2 linked regions of the Caenorhabditis elegans genome follow. The protein of the gene in region 2 interacts with the protein of the main gene of each other region in a pairwise test. Each region holds a gene or a part of one and is shown on either strand. Other genes may lie near its edges.

Region 1 (9,625 bases), on a different chromosome or scaffold from region 2:
ATTCAATTTTGGCACTATCATTTCTCTTCATCTGTTCTGTTGTTTTGTTCCTTTCCCCCTTTAAATGTGGAGTACCGATATTTTAGACTTTGCTTTTTTAGACCTAAAATGACCCAAAACTACCGAATTTTGTAATGAGACGTTCTGAAAATTTTTTACAAAAAAAAGTTATGGCGGTTCAAAGTTTCGGAAAAAATACCCCTTTTCAGCTAAAATCGAAATTTTGCCAACTTCTCGGTGTCTCAGTGTTTCGAACTTAATTTTTATTTAATTATCACTTTTTAAACAATATTTTGGTCTTTTATTAGACGTTGATTAGTTGATTTTTCGATCATTGGGGCACAAAAATGTAACTTTTATTTGTCCCCCACTGGTCGAAAATGTGCTTACATTAACGAATAAATGTCTAATAAAAGACCAAAATATTGTTTAAAAAGTGATAATTAAATAAAACTTAAGTTCCAGACTCTACGACACCGAGAAGTTGGCAAAAATTTCGATTTTAGCTGAAAATGGGCTATTTTTCCCAGAACTTTGAACCGCCATAACCTTTTTTTGAGAAATTTTCAAAACGCCTCATTAGGTAGTTTTCGGTAGTATTTTGGGTCTAAAAATGCAAAATCTCAGGTTTCGATACTCCACCTTTGACCTTCTATTTATTGTCTCCCATCCCCCGTTTTTTTTCCATTTTTGTGGGCTCCCAATTCGTTATGAACAGTGAGCTGGTTTTTCATCGCAGGCTTCTTTTTCCAGCAGTTACGAAGCAGACGTTCTGTGTTCAATACTTGACCATTCTCCCCCCGCCAGAAATGATCGATAAGAGGTGGTCCTCGGAGACCCGCGCGCGTGCGCATAGGTCACCTGATCACGTGGTGAAGGGCAACTGCCATTGTTTCAACGCCGGAATATTTTTTGAACCTTTATTGATTATCTCAAGTTTCTTATCAAATTTTCGAAAATTTGCCTTTCTTTTGTGTAAGGGGAAAATGGAAAAATTACGATTTTTGTTTCCATCGGAAACAAACAAAATGTGTTTTGTGGTGTGACCAAACGTCATTTTGTGTTGTTTTCTTGAAGTTTCTAGACGCGAAAAATAGAAAAATAATTAAAACTTTCTATAAAATTACCAACTTTCAGATTTCGGAAGGATTTTATTAAAAAAATTGGCAACATTTTTGATTTTCAATGAAATTTTTTTAAGGTGGAGTGCGCCCAGTGGGAAAATTGCTTCACAATGGCCGAATATCATGATTAAAAAATTCAAAAAAAATTTCTAAATTTTATATGATTTTTTGAAAATTGAAAAATCTCAGTTTTCCCCTAATTTCTATTTGAATTACCGCCAATTGGGTTCGTTCGATGGAGCGCGCTTGCACTATTTATTTTATTTTTCTCATTATTTCACTGATTTTCTTCATTATTTGTGTATTTTTATCGGAAAAAGAGAGAAAAATGCAAGGTAAATGCTTATAAGATTTATTAAAAAGTAACTGAAAATGAGTAAAACTGTGGAATATGCTATTTTCAGGATTTTTGGCGTCGAAACACAGTTTTACCCATTTTCAGTAATTTTTTAATGACCAATTTGCATTTTTCTCTATTTTTCCGATTAAAAACCCCCAAAAAACGAATAAAATCAGTGAAATAATGAGAAAAATAAAATAAATAAATAAAAATAATGCAAGTGCGCTCCATCGAACAATTTCAATTGGCGGTAATTCAAATAGGAATTAGGCAAAAACTGAGATTTTTCAATTTTCAAAAAAAAATCATATAAAATCTAGAAAATTTTTTGAATTTTTTTATCGTGATATTCGGTCATTGTGACCCTATGGGCATGTTTTAAAGCAATTTCCCCACTAGGCTTACTGAGTAGAAAAATCCCGGAAGTGCAATTTTTGAATTTTTTGTGAGAAACTCCTCCACAATTCGTCATTGAAAATGAAAAAACTCGACTAAATATTTTTTCCATGACAGGCGGTCTGCTCCGGGTTCGACGTCCTTTTCGAACTGATAACGTCACAATTTTTTTCTTTTTTTTTCCGCATTTTTTCATTCCGATTGCTATTTAATCGGGTGATGTCGGGGTCACTCTTCAATGTCCGTTGACTACATTGTTTTAATTTATTTTTAATTGACTCCAAATTTTCCCCTGATTTCGAATATCTATGTGAAAAAATTCAAAAAAATTTCCCTGATTTTATATTTAAGCTTGAAATCGCTTGTACTAGCATCACTTTTTTTCAAATTCGCGCCCAAAGAAATTCGCATTGGAGCGCGCTTTGATTTTCTTCATTTAAATATTTTATTTATTTTTCGCCGAATGCAGTTTTTTGAAAACCAGTTTCATTCATTTTTGTCGAGCTTTTATCGATTTTTTTCGACAAAAATGAATAAAACTGGTTTAAACTGAATTCGGCGGAAAATAAATAAAATATTTAAATGAAGAAAATCAAAGCGCGCTCCAATGCGAATTTGTTTGGGCGCGAATTTTAAAAAAAGTGATGCGGGGGACAAATGAAATTCTACGATTTCAAGCTAAAATATAATATCAGGGAATTTTTTTTGAATTTTTTCACATAGATATTCGGAATTAGGGGAAAATTTGGAGTAATATAAAAAATATTTCACAGATTTCGGTACTCAACCTTTAAAATTTTAAGTGAGAAAATATTATTAACGTGATTTTAAATTTTTTTTTCTTCTGCAACAATTTGAACTTTGATCTTAAATTAAAAAAAAAAATTATTTTTAAAATTTCAGTTCAAAAATGAGCGGATTAGCACCAGATGGACTGCCCAAAGGAAATCGAGTTTGGGCTGATGGATGGTTGGTTTTTGGCTGGAATCGACACGTGGTGTCAAAGTGTCTCTTTTCGGTTTGATCTACAAAAAATGTGGGATTTTTTTTCCAAAAAAATGTGACGTCAGCACGTTCTTAACCAATTTTTGTTGAAAAGTCTGCGTCTCTTTTCCCGCATTTTTTGTAGATCTCTACGTAGATCACGCCGAAATGAGACACTTTGACACCATGTGAATTGAGCCTTAAAATGAATTAATTTTCCAGTTATGACATGGTGCATTTCGGCCATGCAAATCAATTACGGCAGGCTAAGCAGTTTGGACAGAAGTTAATTGTTGGAGTACATAATGATGAAGAGGTTTTCAATATTTTTTTCTCCCTAAAAAGAAGATGGGAATATGCAAATTTTTGTTAAAATATTAGCAGTTTTTAAGTCGTAACTCGTAAATTGCGAAATTTTTCCCTATAACACACTTGATCTACGCTGATCTACAAAAAATGCGGCAGAGTTCTTAACTCATTTCGTATGGTTAAGAACGTGCTGACGTCACATTTTAATGGGAGAAAAATTCCCGCATTTTTTGTAGATCAAACCGTAATGGGACAGGGACCCCTGGCACCACGTGGCTATAAATTATTTTAAAAATCAACTTCTGTGAATTATTTAAATTAATTTTCACTTTAAATTACGATAGTTCAGGTAAAAAATATTGTTTAAATAATTCAATTATTCAATTTTCCTTATTAAAAGCCACGAATTAAAAAGAAATTTCGTGACTTGACAAAAATTTTAAAGGAACACGCGTGTGTGACCCTTTAAGGAGTACTGTACTTTTAGCTATTTTGCAGTTTTTTTTCATTTTTTTCGAGATCGCGTCGAGACCCGAAATAGTTGGCATCTGGTAAATATTCTGATTGAATGGATATTTTCGTTATAATTTGGGGTTGCATGGAAAAAAAAAGAATATTTTACAATATTTTTCACTAAATATATCGTAAGTTAGGGTATATTGTGGTAATCATTAAAAATTTTTAAATTTCAGATCGAAATTTAGCAAAAAAAAAACATTTTTAGTGACTAAAAAAACATATTCGTTTCTAATTTCCAATTGAAATAGAAAAAAAAACGTTAAGTAATATTTTTTTTTATTGCAATTTTTTCCGACCTTTAAAGGTGGAGTACCGAAATCTGGGAAATATTTTTAATTGACCCCAAATTTTCCCCTAATTCCGAATATCGATGTGAAAAAAATTAAAATTCAAAAAAAATTCCCACGATTTTATATTTAAGCTTGAAATCGCCGAATTTCATTTGTTTTTCCCGAATCACTTTTTTCAAATGCGCGCCCAAAGAAATTCGCATTGGAGCGCGCTTTGATTTTCTTAATTTAAATAAATATTTTATTTATTTTTCGCCGAATTCAGTTTTTTAAAACCAGTTTCATTAATTTTTGTCGAAAAAACCGATAAAAACTCGACAAAAATGAATAAAACTGGTTTTTAATAAAACTGAATTCGGCGAAAAATAAATGAAATATTTAAATGAAGAAAATCAAAGCGCGCTCCAATGCGAAGTTCTTTGGGCGCGAATTTAAAAAGTGATTCGGGGGCACAAATGAAATTCGGCGATTTCAAGCTTAAATATAAAATCACGGAATTTTTTTTTTGAATTTTTGGAATTTTTTCACATCGATATTCGGAATCAGGGGAAAATTTGTAGTTTAACTCAAAAAAAAAATTCCAGATTCGACTACATAAAGGACCTCCAGTATTCAATGAACAAGAGCGATATCGAATGGTTGCCGGCATTAAATGGGTCGATGAAGTTGTGGAAAATGCGCCATACGCCACAACAGTCGAAACTCTGGACAAGTATGATTGTGATTTTTGTGTTCACGGAGGTAAAAATATTAATTAAAGTCCAATCACGGTTTGATCTACAAAAAAATCCGGGAATTTTTCGCCCAAAAGCAATGTGACGTCAGCACACGCTCTTAACCATGCGAAATCAGTTGAAAACTCTGCCGCATTTTTTGTAGATCAACCAGAAGATCAAGCCGAAATGAGACACTCTGACAGCACCACGTGTAAAAAAAGTAGATCAATTTTCCAGACGACATAACTCTAACCGCCGACGGAAAAGACACGTATCAAGAGGTGAAGGATCACCAACGATACAGAGAATGTAAGCGAACGTGTGGTGTCTCTACAACTGATTTAGTTGGCCGAATGCTTCTGCTCACCAAGAACCATCACACACAGGATGAGCACATCGAGCAACACGTCGAACGAGCTCGTTCGCTGAGCACGGTAAGTCGGAATTATTGGAAGACTTGTGCCACTGGCTGGGGGGAAATTGCTTTAAAACATGGTTTAAAAAATTCGAAAAAAAATTTTCTAAATTTATTGGATTTTTTGAAAATTGGAAAAATCTCAGTTTTCACATGATTTCTATTTATTTGAATTTCCGCCAAAATTATGTGTTCGATGGAGCGCGCTTGCATTGTTTTTACTAATATATTTCATTTTTTCTCAGTATTTCACTGATTTTCTTGTATTTTCATCGGAAAAAAAAGAGAAAAATGAAAGATGAATGCAAGTTGTTCATTAAAAAAAAGTTATTGAAAATGGGTTTTACCACAGTGTTTCCCATTTTCAATAATTTTTTAATAAACAATTTGCATTTATCTTTCATTTTTTTCTCACTTTTTCCGATAAAAATACAAGAAAATCAGTGAAATAATGAGAAAAAATGAAATAAATTAATAAAAATAATGCAAGTGCGCTCCATCGAACACATCATTTCGGCGGAAATTCAAATAGGAATTAGGGGGAAAACTGAGATTTTTTCAATTTTCAAATTTTTTTGAATTTTTTAAAATCATGTTTTAAAGCAATTTCCCAACTGGCGCTACTACGATTTTCAATTAATTTTTAAAAATTTTTAAAATTTTAGGCTATTCTGGAGTACAGCAAGGTAAGCGTAGCCGGCTGCTTGTCGTTTTTTCCAGTTTTGCAAAGCTTAATTTTTCAGCGTATGCAGTCTAAAAAACGGCGTCTGAATAGGCTTATAGCGGTAATGGACCAAATTTTGAATTTTAGTGGGCCGCACGGATTTCTGGCTTCCCTCATAAATTGAAATGGAAGAGTTTTTGCCGAACTAGGCCATGTGGATTTACGGCGCGTTGCGTGTCGCGTCGCGGTTCGATTTTAGTTGTAAAACTAAATGTATTTGTCCGTGTGGAGTACACCACTTTCCCAAGGCGATTGTCAATGGAGCGCGAAAAATTCAATGAGGAAGCCCGGAACCCTATGGGGCTTAAAATATTATTTTTTTTTCAGAACAAGCTTAGAATCTACTTTTTCTATTACGTGTTTATCCAGAGATGAGAAAAATGGCCATATCTGCCGCGCAAATGAATCTGCGGGAAGAGACAAAACTACTGTAGTTTTTAACCAATTTGTGTAGATTTACGAGCTATTGCGTCATCGTTGAATTTAATTTTGAGCCGCAATTTTTAATTTTCAGGCGTTTTTCTAAATTTTTTTGTGTGTTTTCTTTTAAGATTTTTCAATAAATAGATAAATTTCAATATAAAAACGTGTGAAACGCCTGAAAATTAAAAATTGCGGCTCAAAATTAAATTCAACGATGACGCAATAGCTCATAAATCTACACAAATTGGTTGAAAACTACAGTAGTTTTGTCTCTTCCCGCGGGTTCATTTGCGCGTCAGATATGGCGATTTTTCTCATCTCTGGATAAACACGTAATAAGTACAATTTAGTGTAAATTTTCTAAATTTCTTTTCAGGACAACGTTGCAATGTCCCCCTGGACACGTGTCTCGCGCTTCATCCCAACAACGACAACGATTCTCGAGTTTGCCGAAGGAAGACCGCCAAAACCGACGGACAAGGTTGTCTACGTGACCGGATCGTTTGATTTGTTCCATATTGGACATCTGGCGTTCCTGGAAAAAGCCAAAGAGTTTGGAGATTACCTGATTGTGGGAATTTTATCGGATCAGGTAGAGCGTTTTTGTTTAGAAAATTTCTGGGAAATAATTTTAATTGACTCCCCAATTTTCCCCTGATTCCGGAAAAAATTCAAAAAAAATCCCTGATTCAATCCCTTTAAGCTTGAAATTGCCGAATTTCATTTGTGCGCGCTAAAAAAATTCGCATTGGAGCGCGCTTGCATCGTTTGATTTTTTTTTTCGCCGAATTCAATTTTTTAAAACCAGTTTCATTCATTTTTGTCTAAATTTTATCTGTTTTTTTCGACAAAAATTAATGAAGCTGGTTTTAGAAAACTGAATTCGGCGAAAATAAATAAAAATTTAAATGAAGAAAATCAAACGATGCAAGCGTGCTCCAATGCGAATTTGTTCTTTTTTTGAAACAAAAAGTTTGATTTTAAAATTTAAATAAAAAAATGTGATCTACCCAAATTTTAAAAGTTTCTTTTTGTGATTTCCATGAGAAAAGGCGTTAAAAATATCAATTTTTCGTGAAAAGGGTTAATTGATGTGCCATCCTCTCAAAAACTTCACAAAAATTCAAATTCTTCAATTTTTTATTTTTTATCTCAGCCATCAAATTTGCGATGGAGCGCATTTGCAAGGTGCTTTTTTTTATTTAAAAATTTCTATGCCGAAAAATGAAGTTAAAATAGCGATTAACCCGTTTTCACCTCAAAAATGCATTTGTGATCTACCACACCTGGCGGTAATTTCGTAAATTTCTCTGTAAATTTCTTTTAAAAGTGGAGTAGCGAAATATGTGGAAATATTTTTAATTTACTCCAAATTTTCCCCTGATTCCGGAAAAAATTCGAAAAAAATTTCCCTGATTTTATATTTAAGCTTGAAATCGGCGAATTTCATTTGTGCCCCCGCATCACTTTTTTGAAATTCGCGCCCAAAAAATTCGCATTGGAGCGCACTTGCATCGTTTGATTTTCGCCGAATTCAATTTTTTAAACCTGCTTCAATAATTTTTGTCGAAAAAACCGATAAAAAATCGACAAAAATTAATGAAACTGGTTAAAAAACTTGAATTCGGCGAAAATAAATGAAGAAAATGAAAAAAAAAAACGGTACAAGCGCGCTCCAATGCGAGTTTCTTTGGGCGCGCATTCAAAAAAGTGATGCGGGGGCACAAATGAAATTTGGCGATTTCAAGCTTAAATATAAAATCAGGGGAAATTTTTTTGATTAGATATTCGGAATCAGGGGAAAATTTGGAGTCGATTAAAAATATTTCCCAACTTTCGGCATTTTTACATTAAAAAAATGAGAAATCTACCACAATCGAATAAAACTATCAATTTCACAGACTGTCAATCAATACAAGGGAAGCAATCACCCCATAATGTCGATTCACGAGCGTGTACTATCCGTTCTGGCCTATAAGGTTTGTAGTTTGAACTTTTCGAAATAAATTGAAAAAATTGAAAATTAAAAAATTTTTTTCAGCCAGTGAATGAAGTTGTGTTCGGTGCTCCATATGAGATTACTTCTGACATTTTGGATCAGTTTAATGTTCAGGTAAATGCTGTAAATGTTCGAGAAATTTGAATTTGAATTTAAATAAACAAAAAATTCAAATTCAAATTCATGTTTTAATAAATAAATTAATTCTCCATACATGATAATCCAATTTTTTCATCCAAAATTAATGTAGAAATGAAGAAAAAAGCTTGTTCTATCTGAAAATTATATTTATTTCTGTTGAAAAGCTTGAAACAGGCCTTTGAGGCGTTTTTGAAGCATTTCCACAGAAATAAATAGTATTTTCAGATAGAACAAGCCTTTTTCTACTTGCCTACATTAATTTTGGATGAAAAATTGGATTATCATGTAGGAAATAAGACGTTTTGTGCGTTTACAGTCCGTGTTGAAAAGTTATCAAACGCGCGCGCGCGAGAGAGTGTGCGAAACGAGGAGAGTCGCACGCAATAGATAGAGGCACGCGAAACCCGCGAGGTGTCGGCCGGCGCGTAAAAGTACCCAACAGTGCCGACCAGCGCTCCTCAAGCCTCCTGGCGCTGCTATTAGCCGGGATTCATAGGCTGGCGATGATTGAGATTGTTCCCACACGCAATTTCTCCTGATCCACATGAAGGCTAAACTTCCTTGGACGTCTGAGCCGCCTTTAATAATGATTATTAATGATTAATTTTGAGAATTAAGGGAAATTATTGGATTTTCCATTTTCTCCTGGAAATATCAAGGTTTAAACTTTCAGGCAGTTATCAACGGATTCCGTGACAACAACTCCTCAGTCGTCAACTCATCGCTTGCATCGATCGACCCGTTCGCAGAAGCCAAACGTCGTGGAATCTACCATGAAGTGGACTCGGGAAGTGATATGACCACCGATTTGATTATCGATCGAATCATCCATCACCGTCTCGAGTATGAGACACGAAATAAGAAGAAGGAGAAGAAAGAAGCTGATGTGGCAAAAGCCATGAACTTGATTTAAATATTTCTTTATTTTTTTAAGCATTTAATGCCTATTAATGCCTATTAATCAATGCTTTTCAATTCAATTCTAGTCGACCTAATATTTCCATTTTTTTTCTCTCCCACTTGCCACTTACACTTTAATTCCTTTATTTAAATATATCATCAGTTTTTCTTTTATTGTACATAAATTATATAATATCACAAATGGGTTAGCTCAAACGAAACACAGCTCGGCTCGTCGAATCGGGCCAGCGGAGCACGAGGTATCGACCGATTTGAAGATCCCGATTCGTTAGAAAGGCGGCAGAGGCTTTCGTGACGGATTTTTGGGAGCATTGGGCCTGGAAA
Region 2 (9,474 bases):
CTTCCTGGAATTCGCTGAAAAGGTAAGGACATCAGCATTGAAAGTAGATAGTCCCACTGAACCTTTTGAACAATTTCTGATAATATTTTAGTATTTTTCTGAGAGTTTTAAATTTAACTAATTGTAAGTTTTAATTGTTTTTAATTGGACATTATAGGGGCATACATATACTCTACCCCTAAATAACTTCTTTCTCGGTTCCGTGCGGTACTAATTTTTATCATGTTTTTTTTTCAGATTCGCCCAGTTTTCAAAAACACAGTTGTCTACTTGACTGGAGGTTTCCGTACAGTTAACGCAATGGTTGAAGCTATCAAATCCGGAGCCACACAAGGAATTGGTTTGGGTAGACCGATTACTGCGGAGCCAGATCTCCCAAAGAAAATTCTGCAAAAGTTGGCCCCTTCAGCTGTCTTCGATGCAATTGATCAAAGTGAATTTGTCCTCTCACTTCTTGCGAGCAACACTCAAATTGAACAAATGGGACGGAACTCGCTGAAAGAAGCAAACAATGATGTCACTTACGGACTCAGTGACTTCAGTGATGAAGATACTGTGAAAAGATTTGGAAAAGCAGTTGAAGAATTCGCCGAACTTTTGAAAATTCAAGCATCTCGAGGTGTCGCAATTCCAAATGTGATCACATTCGAAGGAGTGAAAGCATAAATTATGCATGTTTTTAATCTGTTTTTTTCAAAATAAATTTGTAGCGAGATACATAAATGTAAATAAATTATTGTTGATTTACTTGTTTCATACATCCATCATTTTTCATAAATCTGTCGAAGTTTCAGGTTAGGATTTATTTTCTTGTGTAAGGTGGGGAAATAATCTGGAATTCTTTTAGAAGAAACTGTCAAAAAAACCGTAAACTCGAAATTATTTGATTGAATCATAGAGCCATTCTACGGGAATATTGAATGAAACACAATTGATCAATGCATTGAAAAAATCCAATATTACGTCAATAGGATTTACATAAACAGCGTACAATTGACACTATCATCTACTGAAAAAACGAAGTTAAAACCTTCAAAAGTTTCCATTCACGACTGTCATTATTGTATAAAATGTATAATTTTTTCCGTACTGTTCCACGAGCTAATCGAAATGAAATTACGTTCTATCCAGATTATGAAGGTGAGAAATGACGTAGCTGTGCAAAATTTTTGAAGCTCTAATTTTGTTTGAAAATAATTGAAAGAGTTTTGATAATAGAGTTTTTTCTGAATTTTAACACCTACGCAACTATGATTTTGTCCATAATATTGGGAAAAATGTATACGAAATATGGGAATCCGCATCGATTTTTGTTTTGTTCGTTTGTGTGCCGCTTTTCGGAAGGCAGCCACATTTATGTTCAAACATTGACCGTTTTGTCGACGGGGATATCAAAATTGTTGGATTTCTTATAGTTTGTAGCAATATTTTATTTATTTTTAACAATATTTTGGTTAATTGTTTTTGTATTAATTTTATAATGATTAAGTTTTGGATTGATTCTTCTTGGTTTATCAGAAAGAAAGAAAACATCGTATGTTTGCGCATCCACTCAATTCAATGTTCGCTCACAAATGTGCCCATTTCTGTGCATTTGAAACGAATATTTTTGAACTACATATATAATTACTCGTAGAGCTCATTAAAGTTTTCAAGTGTACCACTTTTGGATATAATTCTTTGGGTGATAAAATTCACCTCGAACATTCAACCTTGGCACAAAAAATTCCTGAATTCACCTGATTTAATTAATTCATATCATTTTTTGTGATTTTTTATTAGGCCACGTTGCACAACTTTTTATGTGTATTGCTTAAGCACAACAAAAAATTTACACATCGTTTTATAATCAACTTTTAAAAATGTTGTTTTTCAGCTTTACATTCTAATCTTTGGTCATCTAAATTAACATTTTTCATTCAATGTGAATCATAATCTCTATTGAATCTCTCTTCTCACACTTGTTACATCCTATTTCATCAGAAAATCAGCTCTTTTCAAATTGAATATTCTCCCGCTTACCTTTAAATGATCTATTAATTTTTGACTCCACTCAAAACCTATGGGATGTCAACTTTGTCGACCAACAGTAACAGACGAAGATATCGATAAAACTCTGGTTATATTCCGTAAGAAAAGCACCAATCCCTTTGAAAAAACTTCTGAGAGATTCTCTTCAACAAACCCATTCGGAGGTGAAATTGGTGAGTCATTTCCTATTTTTAATTCTATTTGTATTTCATCATGTTCTGGAATGTTTCCTCCTGTTATCATTGTTCTCCTTATGCTTTTTTTTCTTTGCAAAGTGAATTGTCGCGAAATAAAAATTGATAACAAAAAAAGTGTGCGAAACTTGTCTCCGCCTCGCTTCTCTTCTTGACAGTTTTTTGCCTCGAAACTTGGAACATTTCATCGACTTTTTACTGGATCATTTCCTATTCCTCTTACAACAAAAGTATCGATGGAGTCTGTGAATAGTGAAGAACACAAAATAAACGAGGCACCCGCGCCACCCGTCATTGTCATTAATAGCTCCACGAAAGAAGAGCAGGAGGCAACACAAACCGACAGAATAGAAGGGCAAATGAAGAAAATCGATTCGGTCTTTGATGAGCAGAATGTAGCGTCATTGGAAGGTGTCAATTCAAAAAATGAGGTGGGTATTTCGTTTTACTTTTGATTAATTTATTTTTGGTATACACAAATTTTCATAATGTTTACATTTTCTCTCCAACCCTGTCACATTTGGTTTTAATTTTGCGTTTTTGCAAAAGGTCGGCTTCCACCAAAATGAAGCAGTAGCAAGAAATTTGTACTGTGCACTTTTAGGATTTTTTTTTCACCACTTTAAATAAATTGTAACGATTTTCAGATTTCCGGATCGGTATCAAGTTCCAGTTTTGAGGAGCTGAACGCAGAGACTGAAGATTTATCAGAAAGAAGTGAAGTCGAAAAAGACGAAGATCTAGGGAGAGTTGTTGAAGAACATAAAGAACCGGCACAAGTTCCAGTAGAATCGGAAACTCCGGAAACTTCTAAAAAAGAAATCCACCAAGAAGAAGAAATCTCTGAACTTGAGAAAGTTCCTGAAACAGTTGAAGAAGAAATTGAAGTCGTCAATACTTCCGTAGAAATTACTGAAGTAAAGAAGGAAGTGATCGAAGAAGTTAAGATCTCAGGCCTCAAAGAAGAAGAAACTCCGGTTCCAAAAATGAGAGCTCAGCAGCAAGTTCCAGTTGCTGCTGACAGGCCAATCAGGCGGCTTTCGATTGCAAGGGCATCTATGATGACCCCAAAAGCATCACCTAAACTTGCAAAGTATATGGAGCCGGTTAGAGGTAGATTTGTAGATTTTTGTTCATATAATGTTTTATGCGTCTACTTTTCTGCACTTTTTTAAACAACTAGTTGGAGTAATGTGGCTATCAAATTTAGTATTTTTCCTGCCAAATCCCAATGTCGATCTGCGATCGCAGTTCGAAAGTTTAAAACAACCTTTCCCTATTAGTATTGCACCCCACTATTTGACTTTGACAGATTATATAGGCAGAGGTTTTTTTCTGAATCTGAAGATGACAGTGCATATCAAAAAACCATTGCATCACTTTTCTTTGTTTTCATTCTGGAAAACGAAAGAACGCTTTTCAAAAGCATTTCCCAATGCCATTCCTTTTCTATTTGGAGTTTCTATCCTGCAGACACTTGCTATTCTTCCCACACAGTTCGATTTTCCATTGATTGAAAAAATTCCTGACAAATGGAACTTCAAACCTTTTTGCTTAAAGAGCTGCACTTTGCATTATTCTTTATCATTGTGAGCATCATTCGTTGACAGGTCACACTGATAAACATTTGGTCAGTGCCAATCAACGCATTTTCATACTCTCGCTATACAACTTTTCTTTCACATCCTCCCAGTACTGGAACACCATGTGCTCTGCTAACTTGTAAATAATTGTGTGCAAACTGTTTTATGTTTGCTCCGTTGAGAGGCAAAAGAGACAAGACCGCCCGTCATAGCGCGAGAACAAAACTTTTATAAGTATTACAAGAATTTTGACGTGACCAACTGATCGGTATCTGTTCTATTTTTTCGGGCATTTCGAAATGAGTAATCTTTTTGGTAAGTATGAACAGAAAATGATCATTTTTAGAAACTCTAACACCTAAATGGATAGCGTCCGAGTTTTTTGGAAAAGTTATAAAATTGATGATCAAGGTAAGGTTTTTAGGTTGTGAAACGGCAGACTTTTCAATCGCGTTATATTTTGATAATCTAGTTATGGCTTTCAAATCCAGAAGTTTCTGATAAAAGAACGAGAAAATCAAAAATTATTTTTAGCTCTACCTTCAAGTTTATATTTTTTGTATTTGACATTATATGATTTTCAATTTCACCTCAATTTCACGAGATATTAATCAAACGCTTGAAAGCTTGAATTTCTTGAAAATTTTCTTGTAAATCATCTCATATTCTCGTTCAAAAGGCAAACGAAACATGGTTTCCAGGTTCTATATGGTGTATTTTTTTCAAACATTTCAAGCTTTCTAGCTCCAACGTTCTATTTATATTTTGAAATTTTGATAAATTCTCCATTTTTTGAAAAATTCACACGGTCTAACGAGCTAATCATCATGCCGCAATCATCGCATCTTTCTTTTTCTTTTCTTCTTTTTTCTCTTCTTTTCGTTTCTTCCATCCCCCTACTCGAACAATTCAATGAAATAACAAATCGGTTACTTTATTTTGATTCAATTCTTTCCTCCTTCTACCAAATCGTCTCAAACATCGTCCGCTTGCGGTTGTCTCATTTTTCTTGATGCATGACCCCTGTGGAATCGATAGTGCACAAGCAGTTGCTAGAGTTCAGTGCTCCGTTGAAAGAGAAAGCGAGAGCATTCACGTTATATAAACTCAAACTAAACTTTTCTCTTCCGGCCTGCTTTCAATTTTATTTCTTCCAAAGAATTTTTGAGTTGGGTCTCTTGATTGATAGTGGTTTAGTTTTTGATTTTGACTACTGTATACCTATAGGTAATGCATTTGAAGTTTGTTATTTCCGGGTGATTTTCTTTAAAGTTTTTGACTTATTGTTAGATAGTTTTTCGGAATTTCAGTTACGATTCACACTCCAAACATGAAAAGTTGAATTAGTTCAACACAACTTTTACCTTTTCAATTTTCTATCTAGTGGAACAGGACACCGATTATACAGAAAATATTGTAGTTAGAGCAATTGAATTGTTATTGTGTTGAAATTGTATTATGTTATTTCTCAAGCAACCTCGTGATTTTACAACAAAATATTTTTATGTCGATTTCTAGTTGGAACGCAGAATACTACTATACGTCATTCTATTGATTGCATATTTTAATTATATTTAGTTACTAATTTCAATTTAATTTGACTAAATCTAACACAATTTGTCCTACTTATTCATCAGTTCCATGAAATTCCAAGCAAATATTGTGGTTTCATATTTACACTGCGACCATTTGATATATGCGCTGGTTTTCCAACAAAAACCATTCACAGCAAGCAATTCCGACAATGCTTTTTTTGTGTGTGTTCTCTTTTTTTCCCCATAAGATCTTTGCAGTTCGGCCGGTGGGTGATGGTGGTCAGTTCGCGTATTATTTTGACTTTTTCGTCTGCGGTCTACTTGGTCCTTAGACTCTCTTGTCTGGCTTTTGCGCAGTCTGTCGGTCGATCTATTTTCTCGATTCGACTACCTGATCCATTTCTAATTTTTCCTCTTTTTCTGTGATTCTTGATTTTTACGCTCTCTCGGCAATTTGTCATGTATAGAACGTCAACTATTGATGTGACCAGATGATTGTACTGTGTTCCCGATTTCATATAATTCATGAGCCTTTTAAGATGAATAAAACATTCCTCAAAGAATATGACTTCAGTCTCAAGCTTCTGATACTACATTGACCAGTTCCTAATGATCTTTAGCATTCTAATCACTCAATTAACATAAATTTTCTCAACCCATCTAATTTCAAAACCAATTGACGGTCTCTAATTGATGTTCTAAATGTTCTAATTTTCTATTGATATTTCCTGTTTGTTTTACGATCCTCCTCCCAGTTAGTGCATCATCATCAATAGGCCGCCACGTCATCTCTGCCCTCTCTGTGTCCATTCGCCTACATCTCTGTTCACACAGTGAATGAACACACTAGTCGTCTGTCAGTATCTGCGTCTCTTACCACATTTCGTGAAAGTCCCACTCTCTCACACCGCCTGATTGTTGGCTGGCGGCTATGATGACTCACTTGGTTTCAGTTCAACACGAGAATAGAGCCCCTATTTCGCAATTTCGATTTCTTTGGGTCTCACTGGGGGATTCTGAATTTAGTCATTCTATAAATTGGCCGGAAAATCTAGAAGAATTTTCAGTTTTTTCGAACTTAGGATGACGAAACTTGTATCACTTCAAGCTCGGTATTTTTCTGTAGATAACTTCTTTTTTTTTTCAGTGTTACATCAATTTAAAATTCAGAATTTATTAGGTTTTCTAACCAAAATATTGAGAATCTTCGTTTTTTTTTTGTTAAAGTAATGTCGTTTACTGTGTTTTTTTTTTTAGTTTTTCAATTCCAGCTGTACATATTTATTCACCACCACCACGGAAATCGAATTTCTGTTGAAAATTTACGTCAGATCTCGATTCATTTTATTTTTCTCAAACAAAAACTATTTTTAATATTAAAAATAACTTTTTATAACAAAAAACGAAAAATGGATGAGAGTAAGTCTAGGCCTGCAACTTTACTTTCTACAGTAACCTTAAGACGCATATACGAAACACATTTTGTTACTCGCTTGTTTTTGTTTTCCTCCCGCGAAATTTCCTTAATTTCTTGAAATATCTCACATGTTCCGTTCAATTTTCCGCCAATTCTCACCTCCTCAACATCTTGGTAAATTTTAAATAAATAAATTTAACATTAGTTTTAATCAAAATCTCATGATTTATTCTTAATTTTATCAGTTTTCAGAAGAAGGACAAAAGAAAAAGAAGACGAGAAGTATGTTTTCGTGGCTTGGTGGTGATTCGTCAAAAAAGAAGAACAAGGAAGTTTTGGAGACGGTTTCCGAAGGTCTCCGCAAGATTTACAAGCAGAAACTCCTGCCTCTTGAAGAATTCCACAAGTTTCACGACTTTCACAGCCCAGCTCTCGGTAATTTGAAATTATTTAGCATATTTATATTTTCAAAATAACGTTCCTTCTTTTCAGATGATCCGGATTTCGATGCCAAACCAATGATCCTGCTCGTCGGGCAATATTCGACCGGAAAAACGACTTTCATCCGTTACCTCCTCGAGTCCGATTTCCCAGGAATCCGAATCGGTCCAGAGCCAACCACCGACAGATTCATTGCTGTGATGCATGGTGATGAAGAAGGAAGCATTCCTGGAAATGCTCTTGTTGTTGACGCAAAGAAGCAGTTCCGTGCTCTGTCAGGATTCGGAAACGCATTTTTGAATCGATTCCAGTGCTCGACTCTTCCAAATCAAGTTCTCGAAAGTGTAACGATCGTTGATACACCTGGAATCTTATCCGGAGAAAAGCAAAGGTTTGTTTTAATTTTTAAATAATCGGAACACTACTTTCAAGGAGTTGTCCCCATTTGATGAAGCTCCAATAACTTATTTGTTTACAAAAACGAATGCTTGTTGGATCGAATTTCCACGATGCAAAAATAAAAATACTTTTTTATTCCAGAATCGATCGCGGATATGATTTCACTGGAGTTTTAGAGTGGTTCGCTGAACGTGTCGATCGTATCATTCTTCTTTTCGATGCTCACAAGCTTGACATTTCCGATGAGTTCAAGAGATGTATTGAAGCATTGGCTGGAAACGAGGATAAAATACGAATTGTTCTCAACAAGTCAGACATGGTTGATCATCAACAGTTGATGAGAGTCTACGGAGCTCTGATGTGGTCACTGGGAAAAGTATTCAAAACTCCAGAAGTTTCACGTGTCTATTTGGGATCATTCTGGGATCATCCACTTCACTACGATCTCAATCGTCGACTTTTCCAAGACGAGCAGCACGACCTGTTCCAAGATCTTCAAGCATTGCCACGTAACGCTGCTCTCCGAAAGTTGAACGATCTGATCAAGAGAGCTCGTCTCGCCAAGGTTCACGCATACATTATTGCTGAGCTTCGTAAGCAAATGCCATCGATGATCGGAAAGGATAAGAAGAAGAAGGATTTGATCCAAAATCTTGACAAGATCTACGAGCAACTCCAGAGAGAACACAATATATCTCCAGGAGACTTCCCAGATGTGAACAAGATGAGAGAGAAGCTTCAAACACAGGACTTTAGCAAATTCAATCCACTCAAGCCAAAGCTTTTGGAGGTTGTCGATGGAATGCTTGCCACTGATATAGGTTTGTATCAGGATAGGCTTATGAATAATTATCTTTGTATTATTTTCAGCACGATTGATGGCTCAAATTCCAAAGGAAGAAGCCGCAGCCCCAGCAGGATCAAACGGAAGCGCCGATCCAACTGTCAGAGGAGGAGCCTTCAGCCAAACAACAGAAGCAGAAACTCCGTTCGGTTTCGGACGTGTAAGTATTAGATTTCCTGCATACTGTCCATACAGTATTGTCTCAAATATAATTATTTTAGTATGATGCACGCTGGGTGAGCTGATTTAGTTTTTGGTGGCGGATAGGTTTTAAATGGAATAGAGTGGCATGAGTTGGAGGAGTGACTCTATGCTTTCTGTTCTAGAACTGTACCCTTTGGAGCTTGTGGATTTGATTAATTATTAATCAAAATTGTGTTCGACTAATTGAGCACTATTGTTGATGAAATGTGTGTAAAATCGTCCCACCTCACTTCTCGCTTATTATCCCATTTCTTTTTTACCTTACACACAATCCCTTTCCTTTTTCCACAACGAAACACGATCACCTAATTTTTTTTAATTTTCAGGGAGAAGGATTCGACAAGGGAGCCGACGAAGCCGAATGGGTTGTTAGTCGGGAACGCACAACTGCCGACTCGACATTCGAAAGTCTCGGACCAGTTAACGGATATCTCAGCGGAAGAGCTGCCAAGGAGCACATGGTTAAGAGCAAATTACCAAACTCAGTGCTCGGAAAAGTATGGAAATTGGCTGATATTGACAAGGATGGACAGTTGGATGCTGACGAGTTTGCACTTGCCAACTATTTGATCAATTTGAAATTGGAAGGTAAGCCTTTTAAGTTTAATTTCAGCAAAATTTGAACTGGAAGATTTTCAAATAAATATTTTTAAATTGATCTTACAAATATTACAATAATAAGATCATTTTTTTCAGGACACGAGATTCCAAGTGAGCTGCCAAAACATCTCATCCCACCATCAAAACGTGGAGAGCAAGATCCAGTCTACCCATCGCTCAACGACAACGATGAATGAAAACATTTCACTTATTAGTTTTCAATGAA

The links. The genes of interacting proteins can lie anywhere in the genome.
Region 1: the proteins of rme-1 (region 2) and pcyt-2.1 interact in a two-hybrid assay, tested with the Caenorhabditis elegans proteins (one large-scale study listed by BioGRID).

Annotation. Positions count from the first base shown.
Region 1 is NC_003279.8:2,076,198-2,085,822, forward strand, and holds pcyt-2.1 (ethanolamine-phosphate cytidylyltransferase), read left to right. Parts: upstream 1-2,761; 5' UTR 2,762-2,770; coding exon 2,771-2,829; intron 2,830-3,066; coding exon 3,067-3,160; intron 3,161-4,546; coding exon 4,547-4,703; intron 4,704-4,915; coding exon 4,916-5,112; intron 5,113-5,758; coding exon 5,759-5,779; intron 5,780-5,836; coding exon 5,837-5,878; intron 5,879-6,616; coding exon 6,617-6,832; intron 6,833-8,141; coding exon 8,142-8,219; intron 8,220-8,281; coding exon 8,282-8,353; intron 8,354-8,608; exon of another isoform or gene 8,609-8,830; intron 8,831-8,839; exon of another isoform or gene 8,840-8,958; intron 8,959-9,053; coding exon 9,054-9,293; 3' UTR 9,294-9,475; downstream 9,476-9,625. Other genes in the region: iglr-3 (Ig-like domain-containing protein), read right to left, coding at 9,476-9,618.
Region 2 is NC_003283.11:6,207,815-6,217,288, forward strand, and holds the start of rme-1 (Dynamin-type G domain-containing protein), read left to right. Parts: upstream 1-2,353; 5' UTR 2,354-2,461; coding exon 2,462-2,656; intron 2,657-2,872; coding exon 2,873-3,338; intron 3,339-4,107; coding exon of another isoform or gene 4,108-4,123; intron 4,124-5,901; exon of another isoform or gene 5,902-6,117; intron 6,118-7,003; exon of another isoform or gene 7,004-7,012; coding exon 7,013-7,195; intron 7,196-7,252; coding exon 7,253-7,592; intron 7,593-7,741; coding exon 7,742-8,421; intron 8,422-8,470; coding exon 8,471-8,604; intron 8,605-8,665; coding exon 8,666-8,680; intron 8,681-8,974; coding exon 8,975-9,236; intron 9,237-9,344; coding exon 9,345-9,445; 3' UTR 9,446-9,474. Other genes in the region: W06H8.2 (NADH:flavin oxidoreductase/NADH oxidase N-terminal domain-containing protein), read left to right, coding at 1-22, 238-666.